Linked DNA regions of Arabidopsis thaliana. The protein of the gene in region 1 interacts with the protein of each later gene in a pairwise test. Each region holds a gene or a part of one and is shown in the gene's direction. Other genes may lie near its edges.

Region 1 (7,303 bases):
TTTATACATATGAATAAAAAGGAAGGTTTCAGGAATTCATGGTTACAAAATGAGTTTAAAAAGATGAACATTTCCCCCAAAACACTAATTAGATCGTACGGTTGGTGAGCCTAAAGAAGTAGTGCTACTAATAAATGAGAATAATAGTTTTTGGTACGACATCCCACAAATCCTTAATGATGAGAGCATAAATCTCGGCATAATCTTCGTTTCAAGAGTTCGAAAGCATATTCATGAATATTCACAAATGATTACGCAGAAAGTCAGTTTGATAGGTAAAGCATCCATAAGCTAATGACTAAGTTTTCATTGTAATCATTGGTTAACATTTTCTCTAACAATGTTAATTATTGAAAATTTAAAACAATTAACTACACTTCTTATCTCCCCTTCTTCACGAGTTTAAAGCGACGAGGTGCTTCCATCATTATGTCTTCTCTTTTTCTTGTTGCTCTTCTTATGATTCGTCTTTAACTCATTCGCCTATTTGTGAAAAAAATAGATTGCTTGAAAAGCATAAAACTAATCAACTGAAAAAATGTATATGCATAATTAAAAATCAATTCATAGAAAAATTCAGTCGTACTTTCGTCAATTCATGGATTTATTTTTTGTTGTAGCTAAAACTTCAGTTGTACTACCAAAACAAGAAGAAGTTCAACGTCTTGTTGATAGTATCATGAGTTGTGAAAACTCACGTGAAAAGAAATGTAACTATGTAATAAAGTTTTTTATAGTATTAATAGAATAAAACTTGCTTAATTGGTGGTGTTATTTATATATACTTAATTAGGCAATTAGGTTTCAAGAAGAGGAAAAAAACGATGGGACGGAGGTGGTGAGTGGTGGTGGTCGGAGCAGACAAAGAAGGGTCCTACAATTTGCCTAACCGTAAAGAGCCACATTCCTTTTTCTTTTACCCCATCCCGTGAGTGAACCCCACTCTTCCTCATTCTATTATTCTCAATCTATATTTTCAAAAATAAACATAAATATACAAACTCTTTGCAGCATAAAGGAATATGTTGATAAAACGGAGCTTTGTTTATGATTTTGTTTCATTATGATATATTTTTTTTAAAACATTTACCAACAATTTCTTAGAAACATAAATTAAGAGCTAACTAGTATATCTAGTATTTCTCGAAACCCAAACTCATGTTCTTAATTTTTTATTTTTTTCTGGAATGTTAATGACTATCGGATATTTGAGTATAATTGTATGAATTTGCTTGACTGTTGCATACTTTGAATCTTTCTTTCTAGTTTACAATTGTGCAAATTAAATCAAACTCGTTTTCAGTATTTTACCTTTTAGTACTATACTTAATTATGTCATCTGTATCAGGTAATAGTTAGAGGAAAGAGGAAAATGGTGTAATATAAACAACAATTATTTGTATGTGAGTTTACGACCATCATCTAGCTTAAAGTACACACCAATGAGAATATGAACACAGTTTAGCTCAACTCATATATGATCTATCCGACATCTTTTCAATGTTTTGGGTCGCGTAGGAGTATCGGAAGCAGCTTAAGACATAGCTATTTAATAAATTGTTGGTATGTTTTATTTATAACAATTATCACAAAATCAAAAGATACTAATCTCGCTGTTTGAGGCAGACATCTGAGAAAACATGTCTTCTACCAACATTCAAGATTTGACAAATCGTTGTTTACGTATTGTTATATTGAGCATCTTACAACAAAAATTTACGTGTATTTTGAAACTCGGAAATCAATCATATCTATTGATATTAACACACAGTGTTTCCTGACTATCGTCGCAGACGAATAATAATAGTAATAATCTTCCACCTCGTGTGATTCTATAATCTTATATTCTTGACATAAATGTCGTCAAAATTTGGTATACATCAAACATGGATCGTGTTTAAAGTAATCATCAAAAATCACCACACGAGAGTAGATTCCCTATTGTCAAATATAGATCAAAGAGAAAACATGTAGGCTACAAATATAACCTAGTCCCTACGAATAAGAAAAATGTCATTATACCACAAATGATAACTGCAAAGTGTGTGTAAATTTTGATTTTAAAAGAAGGTAAAAAAATAAAAAAGATAGATTTGGAAACAATCTTTTACCTCTTTGGTATTGAACATTGTGACAGTATCAATCAGTATGGTACAGAAAAAACGTCAGAGGAAAAGAATTATCAAAAAACGTACACTCTTCATTTTCATTAAAATCTTTTTTTTTTCTTCCAAAAAACAAAAGCAGAAAAAATGTGTCAGAAAGATTTATGCAGCTTTCATTCATTCATCACTTGCACTGTCTCGTGAAGAAAATTAAACTTTTTTGTATCAGAAATTAATTACATTAAAAGAAAAGAAAAAAAAAATTCCCTCCTTTCCAAGTGCGTTTGCTTTGTGGAGTCTCTCTCTTCTCTCTCTCTGTCTGTGTGTGAAGTGAGAGGATCTTTGTTTGGTTCTGCAATCATAATTTCGTGATATACTAAAAAAAATGCAATTTCCTCTTCTCTCTTATAAGCAGAGACCCTACTACTCTTTGATCGAATTTTCCTTGCTCTCTTCTCTTTGTTCTCTCATGTTTTTTTCTCCCTAAATTTATGGGCTTTGCTCTCTCTCTAAGCCACACTCACACTCTAAAGCACTCGTCTTTCTTCTTCTTTTTCTTCAGAAACAGTTATTTTGACTTGAAAAACCAGAGCTTTAATCCTGGATTCATGGCAAAAAGAGCATTACTTTTCTTTTCCTCTCTCACTTTCTTGTTTCATTTGGCTTAAAAATTCAATGATAATTTTGTATTTGGGGGAAAGAAGAAGAAGAACAAGAGTGTGTGATTGATTCAATTCTTAAAAATGACATTTTGGTGTATGTCAATTCTTCTGATTGTTGGGTTCTTATCAAAATCTGAGCTTTGTGAAGCTCAACTAAGCGATGAAGCCACATTGGTTGCGATTAATAGAGAGCTTGGAGTTCCAGGATGGAGTAGTAATGGCACTGACTATTGTACTTGGGTTGGGCTTAAGTGTGGTGTCAACAACTCTTTTGTTGAAATGCTTGATCTCTCAGGGCTTCAGCTTAGAGGTAATGTTACTCTAATCTCTGACCTCAGAAGCTTAAAGCATCTAGATCTTTCTGGTAACAACTTCAATGGACGAATTCCTACTTCTTTTGGCAACTTGTCTGAGCTTGAGTTTCTTGATTTGTCTCTGAATCGTTTTGTTGGAGCGATTCCGGTTGAGTTTGGTAAGCTTAGAGGGCTTAGAGCATTCAACATTTCTAATAACTTGCTTGTTGGAGAGATACCTGATGAGCTTAAGGTTCTAGAGAGGTTAGAGGAGTTTCAGGTCTCTGGAAATGGGTTAAATGGTTCTATACCTCACTGGGTAGGGAATCTGAGCAGTCTCAGGGTGTTTACAGCTTATGAGAATGATTTGGTGGGTGAGATACCGAATGGGTTAGGTTTGGTTTCTGAGTTGGAATTGTTGAATCTTCACTCAAACCAACTTGAGGGGAAGATTCCAAAAGGGATTTTTGAGAAAGGGAAGCTTAAAGTTTTGGTCTTGACACAGAATAGATTGACCGGTGAACTCCCTGAAGCAGTAGGAATCTGCAGCGGCCTCTCGAGCATTAGAATTGGGAATAACGAGCTTGTGGGAGTCATTCCGAGGACAATCGGGAACATTAGTGGACTTACTTACTTTGAAGCAGACAAGAACAATCTTTCAGGTGAGATTGTTGCAGAGTTCTCCAAGTGTTCTAATCTCACTCTGCTGAATCTGGCAGCTAATGGGTTCGCTGGAACCATTCCAACAGAGCTTGGTCAGCTCATTAATCTTCAAGAACTGATTCTCTCAGGTAATAGTCTCTTTGGGGAGATCCCTAAGTCGTTTCTTGGAAGTGGAAACCTAAACAAGCTTGATTTGAGTAACAACAGACTCAACGGAACCATCCCAAAGGAACTCTGCAGCATGCCAAGGCTACAGTATTTACTTCTTGATCAAAATTCCATAAGAGGAGACATACCTCATGAGATTGGAAACTGTGTGAAGCTACTTCAGCTCCAACTGGGTCGAAATTACTTGACGGGAACCATTCCTCCTGAGATTGGTCGCATGAGGAATTTGCAGATAGCACTCAACTTAAGTTTCAACCATCTTCATGGATCATTGCCTCCCGAGTTAGGAAAACTCGACAAGCTCGTGTCATTGGATGTCTCTAACAATTTGCTCACAGGATCCATACCGCCACTACTAAAAGGTATGATGAGTTTGATCGAGGTTAATTTCTCAAACAACCTTTTGAATGGTCCAGTGCCAGTCTTTGTTCCCTTTCAAAAGTCTCCAAATTCGAGCTTTTTGGGAAACAAAGAGCTTTGTGGAGCACCATTGAGCTCTTCTTGTGGATATTCTGAAGATCTTGACCATTTGAGATATAATCACAGAGTCTCCTACAGAATTGTGCTCGCAGTGATTGGTTCTGGTGTAGCTGTCTTTGTATCAGTCACTGTGGTTGTTCTTCTCTTCATGATGAGGGAGAAACAAGAGAAAGCAGCGGCTAAAAATGTTGATGTTGAAGAAAATGTTGAGGATGAGCAACCAGCAATTATCGCGGGAAATGTCTTCCTTGAAAATCTTAAACAAGGAATTGATCTTGATGCAGTTGTGAAAGCAACTATGAAGGAGTCAAATAAACTCAGTACGGGAACTTTCAGTTCAGTTTATAAAGCCGTTATGCCTTCGGGGATGATTGTTTCGGTGAAGAAACTCAAGTCTATGGATAGAGCCATATCTCATCATCAGAACAAGATGATCAGAGAACTCGAAAGACTCAGCAAACTTTGCCATGACCATTTGGTTAGACCGATAGGGTTTGTTATATACGAAGACGTTGCTCTCTTGTTGCATCAGCATTTACCTAATGGTAACTTAACTCAGCTGATTCATGAGTCCACCAAGAAACCAGAGTACCAACCTGACTGGCCAATGAGACTGTCCATAGCTGTTGGAGCAGCAGAAGGTTTAGCATTTCTCCACCAAGTCGCCATCATTCACCTCGACGTTTCCTCTAGCAACGTCTTGCTAGACTCTGGTTACAAAGCCGTGCTTGGGGAAATCGAAATATCGAAACTTCTAGATCCCTCTAGAGGCACCGCGAGTATTAGCTCAGTTGCAGGCTCTTTTGGCTACATTCCACCAGGTATAAAGTCTTAATTTTGTTACCAGTAACTTTATACAAAATCCAACACTTTCCCTTGGTTTATTTCTGCAGAGTATGCATACACAATGCAAGTTACAGCTCCGGGGAATGTTTACAGTTATGGAGTTGTGTTGCTTGAGATTCTAACCTCAAGAGCGCCGGTGGAGGAAGAGTTTGGTGAAGGAGTAGATTTGGTGAAATGGGTCCATGGAGCTTCAGCGAGAGGAGAAACACCGGAACAGATACTCGATGCCAAGCTTAGCACCGTGTCTTTTGCTTGGAGGAGAGAGATGCTTGCAGCTCTGAAAGTTGCATTGCTTTGCACAGACATCACACCTGCAAAAAGGCCAAAGATGAAGAAAGTAGTTGAAATGCTTCAAGAGGTTAAGCAAATCAAATGAGCAAATGAATATATAGTTTCCTCTTGTGACATTCATATACAAAAGAAAACGCATTCCTATATATGCGAGCTTCTCCTCTGTGTATTATATAGGTTTTTATGATAAAATTGATCCGCTTATGGTTGATTTACTTATCCAATGACACAAATTATAAATTAGATCATAGAAGAACCAATGTACATCTTGAGGGAAACTGTTCAACAAAGCATCTGTTGTAGAATCTTAAGATTACAATACCATGTGAAAACCAGATGGCCTCTTTCAATTTTTTACACATCACACCAAAAAGAAACAAGAATTGGACAAAAGAATAAGTGAAAAGAGAAGATAGGAGTAAAAACCTAGGAGGAATGATCTAATTATAGCACGACGGAGATAATTCCGATTTATGATGCTAAAGAATCTATAAAAACGTAACCCAAGACTTTGAAAACCAAGCAAACCTATTTTTGTTATGTTTTGTTTGAGTTCTTGACTGGAATTCAAAGCCAAACATGGTTTGGATCCTGCCGATGATCAACAGCCAGCAGCTTTAAGGAAGTTGTCGTAAGGGCTTGAGGCTGGTAGTCTAAATGCTTGTGGGTTATTTTGTAGTTCTGCATAGCACGGTGACTGAATAGTTCCCACTGGTGTTCTTGGCGATTTCATGTCGAATTCTTTCGACAGTAAAGGGACTTCGACCTAAACAAATTTCAGTAATCAATACAAAAATGGTTAAACAGTTATCTTGGAATATGAAACCGGAGGCTATCCACAGGAATTCATAGCGAAGGCATACATACCCCAGTATGAAATGCTGAATTGATCATAGGATGAAAAGATGCAATCTTGATCTCTTCATCATGTTGTCGTGGAGAGCAGTTAACAGAACTCTCATGTCGTAGCTGAGAATTTAAAAGACTCGAGATCTTCTGCTGTTTTCCCATTAACAGATTCTCACAATGCAGCGTCATCTCTTTGTATGAAGCATCGGCTGCAGTATGGAAGGAAATTCTACCCACTTGACGTGTTGTCTCTACGACCTTCAAACAATACAAAATAAGTATAGTTTATAGTGTGCTGTTACTTTTGATGAAGACTTTGTAATCTAGTTTCTAGGAAGCTGAAAAATGTAACTTACAGATTCTAGAATTTGATTGACGGTCAGGAGGTCTGGGATTTCAGAAAATGTTACATGATTGTTCTTTGTAACGGTTTCGGTGCCATCTCCAAACTCTTGATCCTCCGCGTCCTGAAGACACAGATGCAACATATTTCAATCTTATGTTCAGCTCGAGGTTTTCAGAGAATATTATGGGAAGCAAAAGAAGGAAGTTACCTCCTTTCGAGGTTTAACATCACCAGAATCAATCTGATAGGTTTTGTGGGTATCTTCTAAAAACCGGGTACCAAGTGGACATGCATCATCTGGCATAAATTCTGTGAGCAACTGCTCTCGCATTTTGTCCATTTCAGACTGGAAACAGTTTAACTTTTGTTAGTCTACTGTGTCTATCAATTGATTTATCAAAATATGAATGGTAAGCTCGGGTAGAGTAATTTAGTTGGGAGGTTGTGACTGGGAACACTTACATTGCACATATCTTCTAAGCTCTTGACGATTTCATAGACAAGGGTTCCTCTGCTATGCTCAGTGGACAGTGCTATGTTTGAAAGAGTATCTAAAGCTGAAGCATCATCTTTTTCGCATCCATAAGCAACTTTTAGCTG
Region 2 (6,825 bases), on another chromosome or scaffold:
GCGGACATGTGGGCAACGAAGTCGCGTCGGTGTGCCGGTAGGGGTACTGTTGTCTTTTACTTTAAACAATTAATACGTCGTGTATGGTGTTGATTGGCGTCACATGCATTTGTTTTGTTATTGTCCTCTCTCTCTCCACCGTCGCTCCTATTTTCTCTGCAGAAGTGAAAAGAAAAAAAATTGTTTTGTCAAAAAAATGGCTCAATAAATAAGACGATTGTCACTTTAAAAAGAAAATAGTAATTATCCAAATATCAATTTCAGAGATTTTTTTGGCTAAAAAGATAAAAGAGCTAGCTCAGATGTTATAATTATCAGTAAATGGAAAACCGTTGGAGATTTAGTACAACTAACAATTTTTGATAAGACAATATAAGAATTTTCTTCTTCTTAGATTAGTAGTTGTCTATTTTCAATACCACTTTAGCTTAATCAAAGTGTCCATTCACATTATTCACAAAAATAGTTCATCTATTTTATTAATCTTCTTACTTTGATTCAAGAATTCCTTTTTTTTTTGTTGTTGCTCAAGATAGAATTTAGCTTATACATAAAAATGATACTTTTTCGCAGTTTTAAAATTCTCTAAGAAACCAAACTGATAAAATTTAAAGCGCAAGAGAATATTAAAGTAAGAAAAAGAGTAAATTATTACAGAATCTCCTCACTAAACGAGCTTATACGTTAATGGCTCTAATCTTGAATATGTTGTTGTTGGCCGTTGAGGCTGTGTTTAATCATGTGACTTTTAACTCCAAAGCTACCAAAAGTCTTCGGCCCAAGAGAAAAGAGCTACATGAGTACATTCTACATTCTTCAGCCAATAATGAGACTCCCTACTATCTTAATTATTGGGCCGAATATGGGCCTACATTAACTATTTAATGGGCTTGATAGTATTGTTAGCATCTAGCTTTTTATGATTTTGTTTCAGTGAGGAGAAAAACGCTTTCTCAATTATGAACTCTGCATCTTTGTCACTGATTCTTCTCACCTGATCTGTTGCAGATATTTGGTCAAAGAGTTTATTAAAAGATAACATAATATAAAGTGAAAAAGCAATGCTGCTTTCTCTCATTGGTTGTGCATAGAGCAAGGACAGAGAAAAACAGGTTCGTACGTAAGAAACACACATTAACTGTGTTCTGCTTCCTTTGTATTCTCTCACTTTTCTCTTTTTTCAGAATTCAATCTCTGGAAATTTTCTTCCTAAAGATTAAAGAGAACCGTTTGGACCAGATCAGCTTGCCTCTTGGTAATGGTCTCTCTTCTCTTTGTTCCCAATTTCTGTAGCTTTCTTCTTTCTCCCTAACTCGTCTGCTCTCTTTGTCTCTTCCTCTCACAGTTCATACGTCTTCCATGGCTTCCGGTGATGTTCTTCCTAGATTCTTCACTGTCTTCCTCTCCCATTGCAGCTCCGAATCCATGGTGAGATTTTTCTCTGGAATATTTCATGGAAAAAGCTGCTTGGGTTGATATGTTTCTTGGATACAGTAACGATGTGAATGAGATCTGCAACATTATCTTAATTCTTAACTCTATATGTTTAAATCTCTTGACACTGACAAAAGTTTTAACTTTCTTCACTAATGAGCTCAGGATTATCTCTGTTTGTGTTACTTATGTTTGAATATGATAGAGTATGTCAAACTAAACACTGAATTTCCTCAAAGAGTTTTCTCCTTTGTTGAAAAAATTGAACAAGAGGTCTTGGTCTTGTTGTTTGTCTGTTTACCTCCGCTTGCAGACAGAGTCTTTAGCTTATATTTTGCTCACTTTTAACAGTTTAGTTTATGCTACATCTTTGTGTTGAGCAGGTGATACCAAGGTCTTACTACAATCTTTTACCACGTCCGTTGCCCAAGACTGCGATTCTCATCGGAACTGGTGGAAGATTTTGGAAAGTAGCAATGACGAGCAAGCAAGAGCAAGTGTATTTTGAACAAGGCTGGGGAAATTTCGTTGCTGATAACCAGTTAAAAGAGGGAGAATTCTTAACTTTTGTGTTTGATGGGCACAAAAGTTATGAAGTAAGTATCTATGGTCGTGGAGATTGCAAAGAGACTCGAGCAGTCATTCAAGTTGAAGAGATCTCTGATGATACAGAAGATGACAACGTTTCTCTTCATAGCCCTAGCAATGTTTCACTTGATAGCCTTAGCAACGATTCTCATCATAGCACTAGCAACGTTTCTCTTCGAAGCCTTAGCAACGATTCTCTTCATGGTGATGCTGAGATAGAGAGCGACAGTGAGTATTCTCCCGAGAACCTACCCTCAGCCTCTATATCTGTTGAATCCGTTGAGGTGGTGAATCCAACAACAAGCAGGCAGAGAAGTTGTAAGTAAACATTGTTCTTTTAACTGATGCTTATAACCGAAGCTGTTTAGAATTTGATCTCAAATGGGAATTTTGCAGACAAGAGGAAGACCATTGAGAATCCACATCTGTATTTGGATGATCCAAACAATGTCTGTTTTGAGACGTGTCTTAAGCTTAGAAAGTTTGAGCTGGTAAGACTTCATTAGATATTATTATCTCGTCTCATTAAAAATCCTTTCACGAGTTGATGATTATTTTTCTAACTAAAGCTCTATATACATTATGCACAGTTAGTTCATGCACAGTTGGTGAAAGACTACGGCTTGATATTCAGCGACAATGTTGACTATATTGACGGATATGGAAAACTAACCGCGAAAACGACCAAGTGGGCAGATCAACGGGTTTGCATAAACAAATGGCAGAAAATATGCGAGAGAAACCAGTTCACAGAGAATGACTCCATCCTATGTGAAATTCTCCGCAACGAGGACAAAGTGGTTTATGCAATCAAGATTCACATCTTCCGCGATGCAGCAGCAAGCACTTGATTCTCTGATGCAGTTCTGCAATTGTGTTTCTTCTCTTTCGAGTCTAGTCTTTTGTAGTAAACTATTAGAATGTCTAATTTCAAAACATGTTTAAGACTTTTGAGTTCTCTTGTAGACTTTGAAGTAAACACAATGAGGAGCAGGCTTAAGCTTACCCGTTAATCACTCTGTTTCTCTTACAAGTTACAATCATGTAAAATGGGTTAGAATGATCGTTTTAATATGTTAGGTACAGATTTCGTAATTTCTCGAAAATGTGATATCTCTTCTTCACAACAGAAGAACAGATTATTGTGAAAGTCAAAACAAAAAAAAATCTCTGAAACAATGGCGTGTTGCTTAGCTTCGTGCTGTGCGTCGGCGACTTGTGGATTATGCTCGTCGGTAGCATCGGGGATATCGAGGAAATCAGCGAGGATCGCTTATTGTGGTCTCTTCGGTGCCTCTCTTGTCGTCTCCTGGATTCTTCGTGAGACTGGTGCTCCGCTCCTCGAGAAACTCCCTTGTACGATTCTCTCATCCTTTTCTGAACTGGGTTTGTGAAAAAGGAGGTTCCTTTTAGCCGAGATTGATGATTGGAATTGAAAGAGACCATCAAATTTCGAAATTGGGTTTTCTTTGATCTTGTCAATTGGAATTGAATCCGGTGGTTAACGATAGATTTGGGTGATGTCTTGTGCTTGAATCTTACTAAGCGTTTAAGTATGAATCTTAATTTGTATTGGTTCAGTGGAAATTTGGTTGCTTTGTAGCTGCAACAGATTGATAATTGTGTACTAGAACTTTAGAAATCTCAATCTGTGTTGATTTGGATGTTTTTCAACTTTCAATTGCGTTTGTTTATGCTTTGTGTTAACCTGCTTGATCTAAGAGAGAATTTTGAGTGTTGCAAAAGGAAACTTCATCGCCTATTGATACAAATCTCCGGTTTTGGATGTTGTTTGACAAACAGGGATCAATACTTCTGATTCATATACCAAAGAATGGTATCAGCAACAAGCTGTTCTTCGTGTGAGCTTTGGGAATTTCCTCTTCTTTGCAATATATGCTTTGATCATGATTGGTGTCAAGGACCAGAATGACAGGCGTGACTCGTGGCACCATGGTGGGTGGGGTTTGAAGATGATTGTCTGGTTTTTGCTTGTTGTCCTCATGTTTTTTGTTCCAAATGTTATCGTCTCGTTATATGGTAAGTTTTTTTTGCTCCTCATAGTTTCCAACATAAAGTGCTACCATATCACGTTATGTTTATGTTATTGGAAATTCACTGGTTTGCAAAATTCCATTGCTGTTATTTTATCAAGTATTAGTTGATGATCTTAAATCGGGCTGGTTGGCAATTTGTGTGATTATATATTATACTTTGGTGTAGCTGCAAGTATGACAAGGAAATTTGAATATCTGCTAAAAGACTGAGACTTTAAAGTTGTGGATTTTAATATTAAACCATATATGCGGGCTAATCTTAGTGCTTGCACATTGTTCTAGGAACGTTGTCAAAATTTGGTGCTGGAGCGTTTCTGTTGGTTCAAGTGGTCTTATTATTAGATGCTACACATAACTGGAATGATTCATGGGTCGAAAAGGACGAAAAGAAATGGTATCATCAGCATCTCTTCTATACATTTGTCCTGTGTTTGTTCCAATATTCTGTTTTGGGCCTTTTTTTTTTGTTGAAGTTTGATAAATTATAATTTTCTGACTAATGGGATTCTTTGTGCAGGTACATCGCTCTGCTTGTCATATCAATCGTGTGTTACATTGCTACATATACCTTCTCAGGAATCCTGTTCATCTGGTTCAACCCATCTGGTCAGGATTGTGGACTTAATGTTTTCTTCATTGTCATGCCGATGATCTTGGCTTTTGTTTTTGCGATTATTGCTTTACATCCTGCGGTGAATGGCAGTCTTTTACCGGCATCAGTTATATCGGTTTACTGTGCTTATGTCTGTTACACGGGCCTCTCTAGCGAACCACATGACTATGTGTGCAATGGCCTTAACAAATCCAAGGCAGTGAACGCAAGTACTCTCATCCTTGGAATGCTCACTACGGTTCTCTCGGTTCTATACTCCGCCCTCCGAGCTGGCTCTTCCACCACATTCCTCTCGCCACCGTCTTCACCCAGATCAGGTACCTGAGCCAACCTCTTCAACACGCCTGGGCATTGGTTTTTTCGGTTTTGTGAATAATAATTCTGAACCAGACTCGGATTTCTGTTTCTTCTTTTTTACTGGAAACGTTTTTTTTCAGGTGTGAAGGATGCATTGTTAGGGGACCCTGAGGACGGGAAGAAGAGTGGTGAAGCCGAGGCACGGCCTGTGAGTTACTCATACTCCTTCTTCCATATCATCTTTGCGCTTGCGAGCATGTACGCTGCAATGCTTCTCTCGGGATGGACTGACTCATCAGAGAGTGCGACTCTGATCGATGTGGGATGGACCTCGGTCTGGGTCAAGATATGCACGGGTTGGGTCACGGCCGGACTCTACATATGGACACTCATTGCACCACTCATCCTTCCAGATCGCGAGTTCTACTAAACAGAGGGTAACATGTATATAGTCCGGTCCGTTGAATGTTATGTATATGTTTATGTAGTCACTTATAGTGGGTATGGTCTTGTTATAATTATGGTAGTAGTTTGTGTCGCGTTCTAGACTTGTAATTGAAGAAACCTCAACTAAAAGACCTTGGATGCTGTTTGAATGATTGTGTTGTTTTATGATAAATAGTAGGCCACTAAATTTGGACTATGGTAGAAATGCTCAACTTGAAGTCAAAGAATCATTAGAGTCAACAGGAAAATTTCAGTAAGAATCCAATCATAGTTTAAATTTGATCTAATCAATCATTAAAATAACTAAAACCACTAGACATTAAGCAGCCTTTTCCCTTTTGTTATCATTGCTATTAGAATTAGTTTTAGTTATACTATTGTTGATTCTTCCTTGGGCCTTCTCCTTGGAATAATCCTCAAGGACAAAATCTTTTATGTTAATCCGACAAACCATGTTTTTTTTCTTAATTCTTTAATTGTATGGCTTATAGCAATTATTCATATCCTTTTACTTATGACCAATGCTTTATACACACAAAAGGTTCCAATTCTAATGTACTCTTAAATTTTCCTATATCTCTCTATCGACAAATTGTACAATCATATGACAATGATTAGTATGTAAAATGTTGTTGTCCCCAGTCCCCACTATGATACGGACACAAATTTACATTGTTTAAGAAAATACTGATAACAAACCATTTAAATATCTTTAAACAACTATTTCGTATGGATAAAAAAAACGTAGAACAATTACACATATTTGACCATCTTCGCATTACCACATAAGAAGAGCGTATCAATCATCATGTGATATAGACCAACTTTATAAAGCTTATAACCTCTTTGTTTGTTTTTTGGACTGTAAAAGAAACCTCATTTGTCAGTCTTGAAAATTTGAAAGCAAGCCAATCAATAAAGACATGACATGACTTATTAAACGGCTAGTGAAACCAAAGACATATGACATACGTATGATTTGCTGAAAACTTAGATGAATATAAGTAGAAACTATCGGCATTAAAGTACACCAATAGCAAATCTGAAAATTAATTGAAATCCATTATAGTTAATTTTCGTCCGTGTGTATATAGTTATTGACTTATTGTATTCTCCATAATTTCAAGTGAGAAGATGGACGAACTCTTCTATGTAATGTTGTTAACCATGTGGAATGCTGATTAGCATCTATATTTCAGATTAAAACAACAACATCGTTTACCTCTAAGCCTCTAACATAGGACATAATTTATAACTTTAATGAAAACGATCTTCTTTGGTCTTTGGTAGACTTTAGCTACTAACTCTAGACATTTTTCTACCGTTTTATTTTTTAGTTCAGCTTCTGACCAGAACAGATTTATGATAACTCAATCATGCTATAGAAGT
Region 3 (6,073 bases), on another chromosome or scaffold:
AAATTGATCATTCAGGTAATCTTTTAACTTCTTAATTCCTGTTACACGTTAAGCTACAACAACATGTTACCATTTATTGTCTTATGCATTTTTATTTTTTTTTAATTTTGATTTTGATAGATTGATGGAACAATCATAGCACCAGATGAGCCTAGCCAATGGGACCCGAAATTCCCAAGGAATTGGCTTCAATTTTCCAAACTCCAAGGAGTTGTATTCCAAGGGAATGGAGTTATAGATGGTTCTGGTACCAAATGGTGGGCTGCTTCTTGCAAGAAGAACAAGTCTAACGTAAGTATCTTCTTTACATAAAGTGGACTTTCTTCTAATCAATCATGAAGTAGAAATCTGACACATATCTTTCTTGTTTTTCTTTTGTAGCCTTGCGTAGGCGCACCAACGGTCTAAGTTTTTTCCCTTTTGTGTTCATCGACCATTAGACTTATCATTTATGTTTGATTTTGCTTATAAGAAAGTCTTTACTTTTATACAGGCTCTAACTATATATTCAAGTTCAAATGTGTATGTGAGAGGCTTAACTATCCGGAACAGCCAACAGATGCACTTGATCATACAACGGTCAACTACAGTTCGAATCTCTAGAGTTATGGTCACATCTCCAGGAGACAGTCCCAACACTGATGGAATTCATATAACCGCATCTACCGATGTTGTAGTCCAAGACAGTAAAATCAGCACAGGTTCTTCACCAAAAACTTCTATTTAACTCAAAACACTATCATGGTAATTATAATATTAAACTCAAAATGTTATAGCTGACACTTCAACTTGAAAACAGGAGATGATTGTGTCTCGATTGTGAATGGAAGCGCCAAGATAAAGATGAAGAGGATCTACTGTGGACCAGGACATGGAATCAGGTAAACCATCTCTAACCATAAAAAGAAATGAGACACATATATTATTATTGATTGCAAATAATTTCTTGTTCTGTAGTATTGGAAGTCTTGGACAAGGACATTCGAAAGGAACCGTCACTGCAGTTGTGTTGGAAACTGCGTTCTTAAAGAACACAACTAATGGTCTAAGAATCAAGACATGGCAGGTAAAATCTCAATTCTATTGATCTTTGCTTTCCTTCCAAAGAGTTTTCAGGATTGATTGAAAGATGAAACTCTTTAAAACAGGGTGGTAATGGTTACGTAAAGGGTGTACGTTTCGAGAACGTAGTGATGCAGGACGTTGCGAATCCGATTATAATCGATCAATTCTACTGTGATTCACCATCAACTTGTCAAAACCAGGTTTTAATTCTTTCACATAACCATTGACTTATCAACAAACCTCAAGAAAGAAACTTAATCTTTTGATTCCTATTTCTTTGCAGACATCGGCGGTTCACATATCCGAGATAATGTACAGGAACATAACCGGAACCACGAAAAGCTCAAAAGCCATCAACTTCAAGTGTAGTGACGCAGTCCCTTGCAGCCACATTGTCCTCAACAATATCAACTTGGAAGGCAATGATGGAAAAGTAGAAGCATATTGTAACTCTGCTGAAGGGTTTGGTTATGGTGTAGTTCATCCTTCTGCGGATTGTCTGTATTCGCATGACGACAAGAGCTTAAACCAAACTGATCAGTATTTGGCAGAAACTATTATGGTCGAAAAAGAAACTGAAAATGCTCATGATGAGCTTTAAGGTGATCACATATTTTGACGGTCGTTGTAGTGAGGAATGTGCACGTTATATTTAGTTGTAATTCATCTTTAGCAACTGACCTTATATATATAGCTTGTTAATGAAGCATATACAATGAGATTGAAAAGCATTGTAGTGTTTATAAATTGATTATAATTAAGGTAAAGATTAATATTTTTGTATAAAAAATGAATGCTTATTTGGTAGTTTGTAGCATTTGCTCATCTCTCTATGTTTTGTTATGATCGTTAAGGGTTGGCAGCAAAACCAGACCCAAATGTTTAAATTTTTAAGCTAATACTAAACCGGAATTGTCTCTCAATTGATTAATTTTATCATTTTGAAAATAAATCTTTTAAATGATTTTGTGGCTAACGTTTCCCAAAGTTAACCAAACCAGACAAACAAAATTTCATTAAAAATATCATTAATAGATGTAGATATGTAATCATATTATATATATTAAAATTATTTTAATAATTATAAAATTTATCAAAATTGATTGAAATGACGATTTCTTATTGGTCAGACAACATCAACAAATAACGAAATTTTCACTGGAGATGAAGTAGCACTTAAGAAAAGAGTATTGCTCACGTGTTAAGTTTTAATTGGTTAGCTCGCGAACACCTGCACACTTGGTCATAGAAGATTCGAAGAGGGTAATTCCGTCAATTACAAATGGCAATTTCGTTAATTGGCGTGAGAAACGACGAATAAACCGGTACCCCTCTCCCTTATAAAATTGCTCTCCACCACTTCCCATTTCGGCGTCATCGCGTTTCTCTTAAGCTTCTCTCACATTTCTCTTTCAAATTTCTTCGAGTCTCTCTCGCTCTCTCCGTTTCTTCGCGGTCTCTCTCTCTCAGATCTCTCCGAAACATTCTTCGTAGGTACGCTTTGATCTAAGATCTGTGCTCATACATTCTCAATTTAGCGTAGATCTGTATGTGTTCTGCATTTCTCGTTTCTTGTGAATTTTGATGGTTTTGGAATCGTCGTGATTGATTTCGTTGAGGTTGATCTTGCTCATGAATGGATAATGCGATTTTATTTTTAAGATGTGTATATATGTCGACGTTTCTGATTACGATCTGATAGTGTGGATCTGTTGAATTTTCTATTCACTTTCGTTTTCCGTCGTTGTGATTGTATCTGATAGCTTCTGAGATGTTGAAGATCTGTATCAGAGAGATTATGATATCTCGGGACGTTTGATTCTCTGTTTGGATCGGCCTGATCTCGTTGAAATTTGATGTTTGTGAGTGACGATTTTGGTATTGATCAGGTTCTTAGAGGATATAAGAATTGAATTTGGCATTATAGATGCATAATTTAGGATTTCTGAGATGAAAATCGCGTGATATAGAATGTGTATGAGGTTTTTGATATTAGACTTTGTTGTGTTTGTTTGCAGTGAAGCAAAATGGGGTTGAGTTTCGCCAAGCTGTTTAGCAGGCTTTTTGCCAAGAAGGAGATGCGAATTCTGATGGTTGGTCTTGATGCTGCTGGTAAGACCACAATCTTGTACAAGCTCAAGCTCGGAGAGATTGTCACCACCATCCCTACTATTGGTAAAGAAGCTTCACACCTTAGTACTGGTTTTTAAATTGTGATGATGGTATAAAATCTAGGATCGATTAGTGATATGCTAAATTCTATCAACAGGTTTCAATGTGGAAACTGTGGAATACAAGAACATTAGTTTCACCGTGTGGGATGTCGGGGGTCAGGACAAGGTATGGAGTCTCTGTACTGCTTATTGTTTGATGAAGGAACTTTTCACCCAAATAAACTGACTTTTTGGCTTCTTTTTCAGATCCGTCCCTTGTGGAGACACTACTTCCAGAACACTCAAGGTCTAATCTTTGTTGTTGATAGCAATGACAGAGACAGAGTTGTTGAGGCTCGAGATGAACTCCACAGGATGCTGAATGAGGTAAATATCCAGTGCTATAGAGAAAGAGTTCTTCTTCATAGTTTTGTTAGTTTGAAAATCCTTTACTTACCAACTCTTTTATTGCAGGACGAGCTGCGTGATGCTGTGTTGCTTGTGTTTGCCAACAAGCAAGATCTTCCAAATGCTATGAACGCTGCTGAAATCACAGATAAGCTTGGCCTTCACTCCCTCCGTCAGCGTCATTGGTAAATAAACATCCTTATAAGTTTCAAAAGTCAAACAATTTCTGTTCGATACTGATGTGTGTTTTTGCTCGCTACAGGTATATCCAGAGCACATGTGCCACTTCAGGTGAAGGGCTTTATGAAGGTCTGGACTGGCTCTCCAACAACATCGCTGGCAAGGTAACATAACTACATAAGTTTCTTCAAAAACACACAAATCTAACGAGCTGGTTTCTTTTTATTCTGCGATGCTTATATCTTTACCTCGTGTTGCTCTTCTTGCACAGGCATGATGAGGGAGAAATTGCGTTGCATCGAGATGATTCTGTCTGCTGTGTTGGGATCTCTCTCTGTCTTGATGCAAGAGAGATTATAAATATTATCTGAACCTTTTTGCTTTTTTGGGTATGTGAATGTTTCTTATTGTGCAAGTAGATGGTCTTGTACCTAAAAATTTACTAGAAGAACCCTTTTAAATAGCTTTCGTGTATTGTGCCTGGATTAATATGATTGATTGTTTTGCTTTCTTGTTTTTGCGTATCCTATTTTCACGTCTGCATCGTTTTCATCACAGAAATATCTTTCTTTCTTTACCAAAATAAATGAATTAGAAATTTTGTATATTTGAAAATTCATATCACTATTGGTCATTGAGTCATGGTTGTAATGGTCATGAGTCATTGAGTCATGGTTGTAAACTTCTTCAACAAGGAATAGATTCCCACATTTATATGCCAGTGTATCTTATGAAAACAAATATTATATTATGTTCACATATTGCTGGGTGATCCAAAAATCCTCAAGATATCTATTATCCCAGAATCATGGACTGTGTGAGTCTGTGACTTAACACAAATCATTGCGTCGTCTCCTTGATGTTCTTCTATGTGCAGACCATCTTTCTTTTATATCTCCAGGTGTGCCAATCCGTTGCTCATCGGGCGAGTGACCATCCTCCATTACTCCAGCTGCACGGATCCTGGCGGTCTCAGCCAACAAGTCATGGATAAGCATCTCTGTCGTCTTAGCCGTGATTCCTCTGAGATACCAAGAAATGGGCGGAGGTGGAACAATCGCTGGCTGTATTAGCTGGTCCAGCGTTACCTTAGATCCGATCCTCCCTTTACCTCCAGTGCACCTGTTATACTCCTCCAGCGTTTTCGGTTTCAAACGATCGCACATATGTTCATCCACAAACAAAGGCTTTACTTGCCAGCTTCCTTCGAATCTCTTCATGAATCCACTTTTCACTTGCTTGAATTTCATCTGCAACACCCATTTAAATCCCCTTTCACGAACCATTCAAGAAACTTGAGACTTTTGTTATAATCGTAGAGGTCTTACAGAGTGATCTGCCCGATCCTGATCCACCAAGACATGAACTGAGATTGTTCCTGACCACCAGAGAAATCTCCACAAAGCTGCTTGTTCAACTTCCACCACTTGCCTTAACCCGTCATCTACCAATACTTTCCGCGACATAACCTCCTGTAATTCCGAGGCCAATGAATCACAGGAGCTTAAAACTGTAACAGAGAGAACAAGATAATCTATAAGAAACGTACCTTGATATTCTTGAAGACTCTTCTATTGTCAGGGTCAATTACAATGTTATAGACTGCATCAGGAGGTAAACCAACATTCACCTCGGCTTTAAGATTGCAAAGCGATCCTTTTGGAATACCCACCTGTAAAGAAATCTTGTTATTATTTATCATATAACAAGATTCTCAAAGACTCTGACAAAACCATGTTGTAAAGTTCATCTCTTGCTCACCTTAACGACTGGGATCTGATCAGTCCACGAAGGGTTTTCCCTCCAACAATCTAACTGTTTCTCCAGATCAATTTGCATGGAGATCGATGAGTTTCCTTTATCTTGCCTCCATGAAGAACCAATCCCATGCTTATCATCTGTCAAATTCTTCAGCTGGGACTGTGACAAAGAGAACAAAATGCTTCCTTTTTCAGCTCCTCTAAAGATCAAAAACATCACAAGGTATTGAAAAGCAATGTGTGGAATCAGAGCATGACCTTAAGACGAGTTTGGAGTTTCTGGGAAAATCCAACGAATCGAGAGAGTGCAGGATCAAACACACTTGAGACCACATTTCCCTTGTTTCTCTCTGTGTCTGATCCCGGATTGCCCATTTCTGACCTGCACAGTGTATAAGGCAATTGAAGTAAAGCCGCAAAGTTAAACATTTTTAAGATTTCACTAAACTAAAGGAAAGCAAAAAGCTTTACTAACGAAGAAACACAGCCCAATAAAGCACCTGAACA

The links.
Region 2: the proteins of AT2G41820 (region 1) and AT3G06170 interact in a protein complementation assay, tested with the Arabidopsis thaliana proteins (one large-scale study listed by BioGRID).
Region 3: the proteins of AT2G41820 (region 1) and ARFA1D interact in a protein complementation assay, tested with the Arabidopsis thaliana proteins (one large-scale study listed by BioGRID).

Annotation. Positions count from the first base shown.
Region 1 is NC_003071.7:17,444,322-17,451,624, forward strand, and holds AT2G41820 (Leucine-rich repeat protein kinase family protein), read left to right. Parts: upstream 1-2,422; 5' UTR 2,423-2,848; coding exon 2,849-5,192; intron 5,193-5,264; coding exon 5,265-5,593; 3' UTR 5,594-5,787; downstream 5,788-7,303. Other genes in the region: AT2G41830 (Uncharacterized protein), read right to left, coding at 6,110-6,274, 6,376-6,615, 6,714-6,824, 6,912-7,049, 7,166-7,303. UniProt on the Arabidopsis thaliana protein: Leucine-rich repeat receptor-like protein kinase that may play a role in vascular tissues development.
Region 2 is NC_003074.8:1,864,320-1,871,144, forward strand, and holds AT3G06170 (Serinc-domain containing serine and sphingolipid biosynthesis protein), read left to right. Parts: upstream 1-3,095; 5' UTR 3,096-3,200; coding exon 3,201-3,378; intron 3,379-3,825; coding exon 3,826-4,062; intron 4,063-4,361; coding exon 4,362-4,473; intron 4,474-4,596; coding exon 4,597-5,009; intron 5,010-5,129; coding exon 5,130-5,419; 3' UTR 5,420-5,644; downstream 5,645-6,825. Other genes in the region: AT3G06160 (AP2/B3-like transcriptional factor family protein), read left to right, coding at 7-37, 1,052-1,112, 1,185-1,255, 1,346-1,428, 1,818-2,340, 2,419-2,513, 2,613-2,873.
Region 3 is NC_003070.9:26,562,172-26,568,244, reverse strand, and holds ARFA1D (Ras-related small GTP-binding family protein), read left to right. Parts: upstream 1-2,433; 5' UTR 2,434-2,559; exon of another isoform or gene 2,560-3,083; 5' UTR 3,084-3,092; coding exon 3,093-3,240; intron 3,241-3,334; coding exon 3,335-3,405; intron 3,406-3,485; coding exon 3,486-3,605; intron 3,606-3,692; coding exon 3,693-3,811; intron 3,812-3,888; coding exon 3,889-3,970; intron 3,971-4,077; coding exon 4,078-4,083; 3' UTR 4,084-4,527; downstream 4,528-6,073. Other genes in the region: AT1G70500 (Pectin lyase-like superfamily protein), read left to right, coding at 1-15, 121-291, 382-402, 494-701, 800-881, 958-1,066, 1,149-1,265, 1,349-1,666; AT1G70480 (OBP32pep, putative (DUF220)), read right to left, coding at 4,637-5,056, 5,135-5,278, 5,356-5,478, 5,568-5,726, 5,825-5,995. UniProt on the Arabidopsis thaliana protein: GTP-binding protein involved in protein trafficking; may modulate vesicle budding and uncoating within the Golgi apparatus.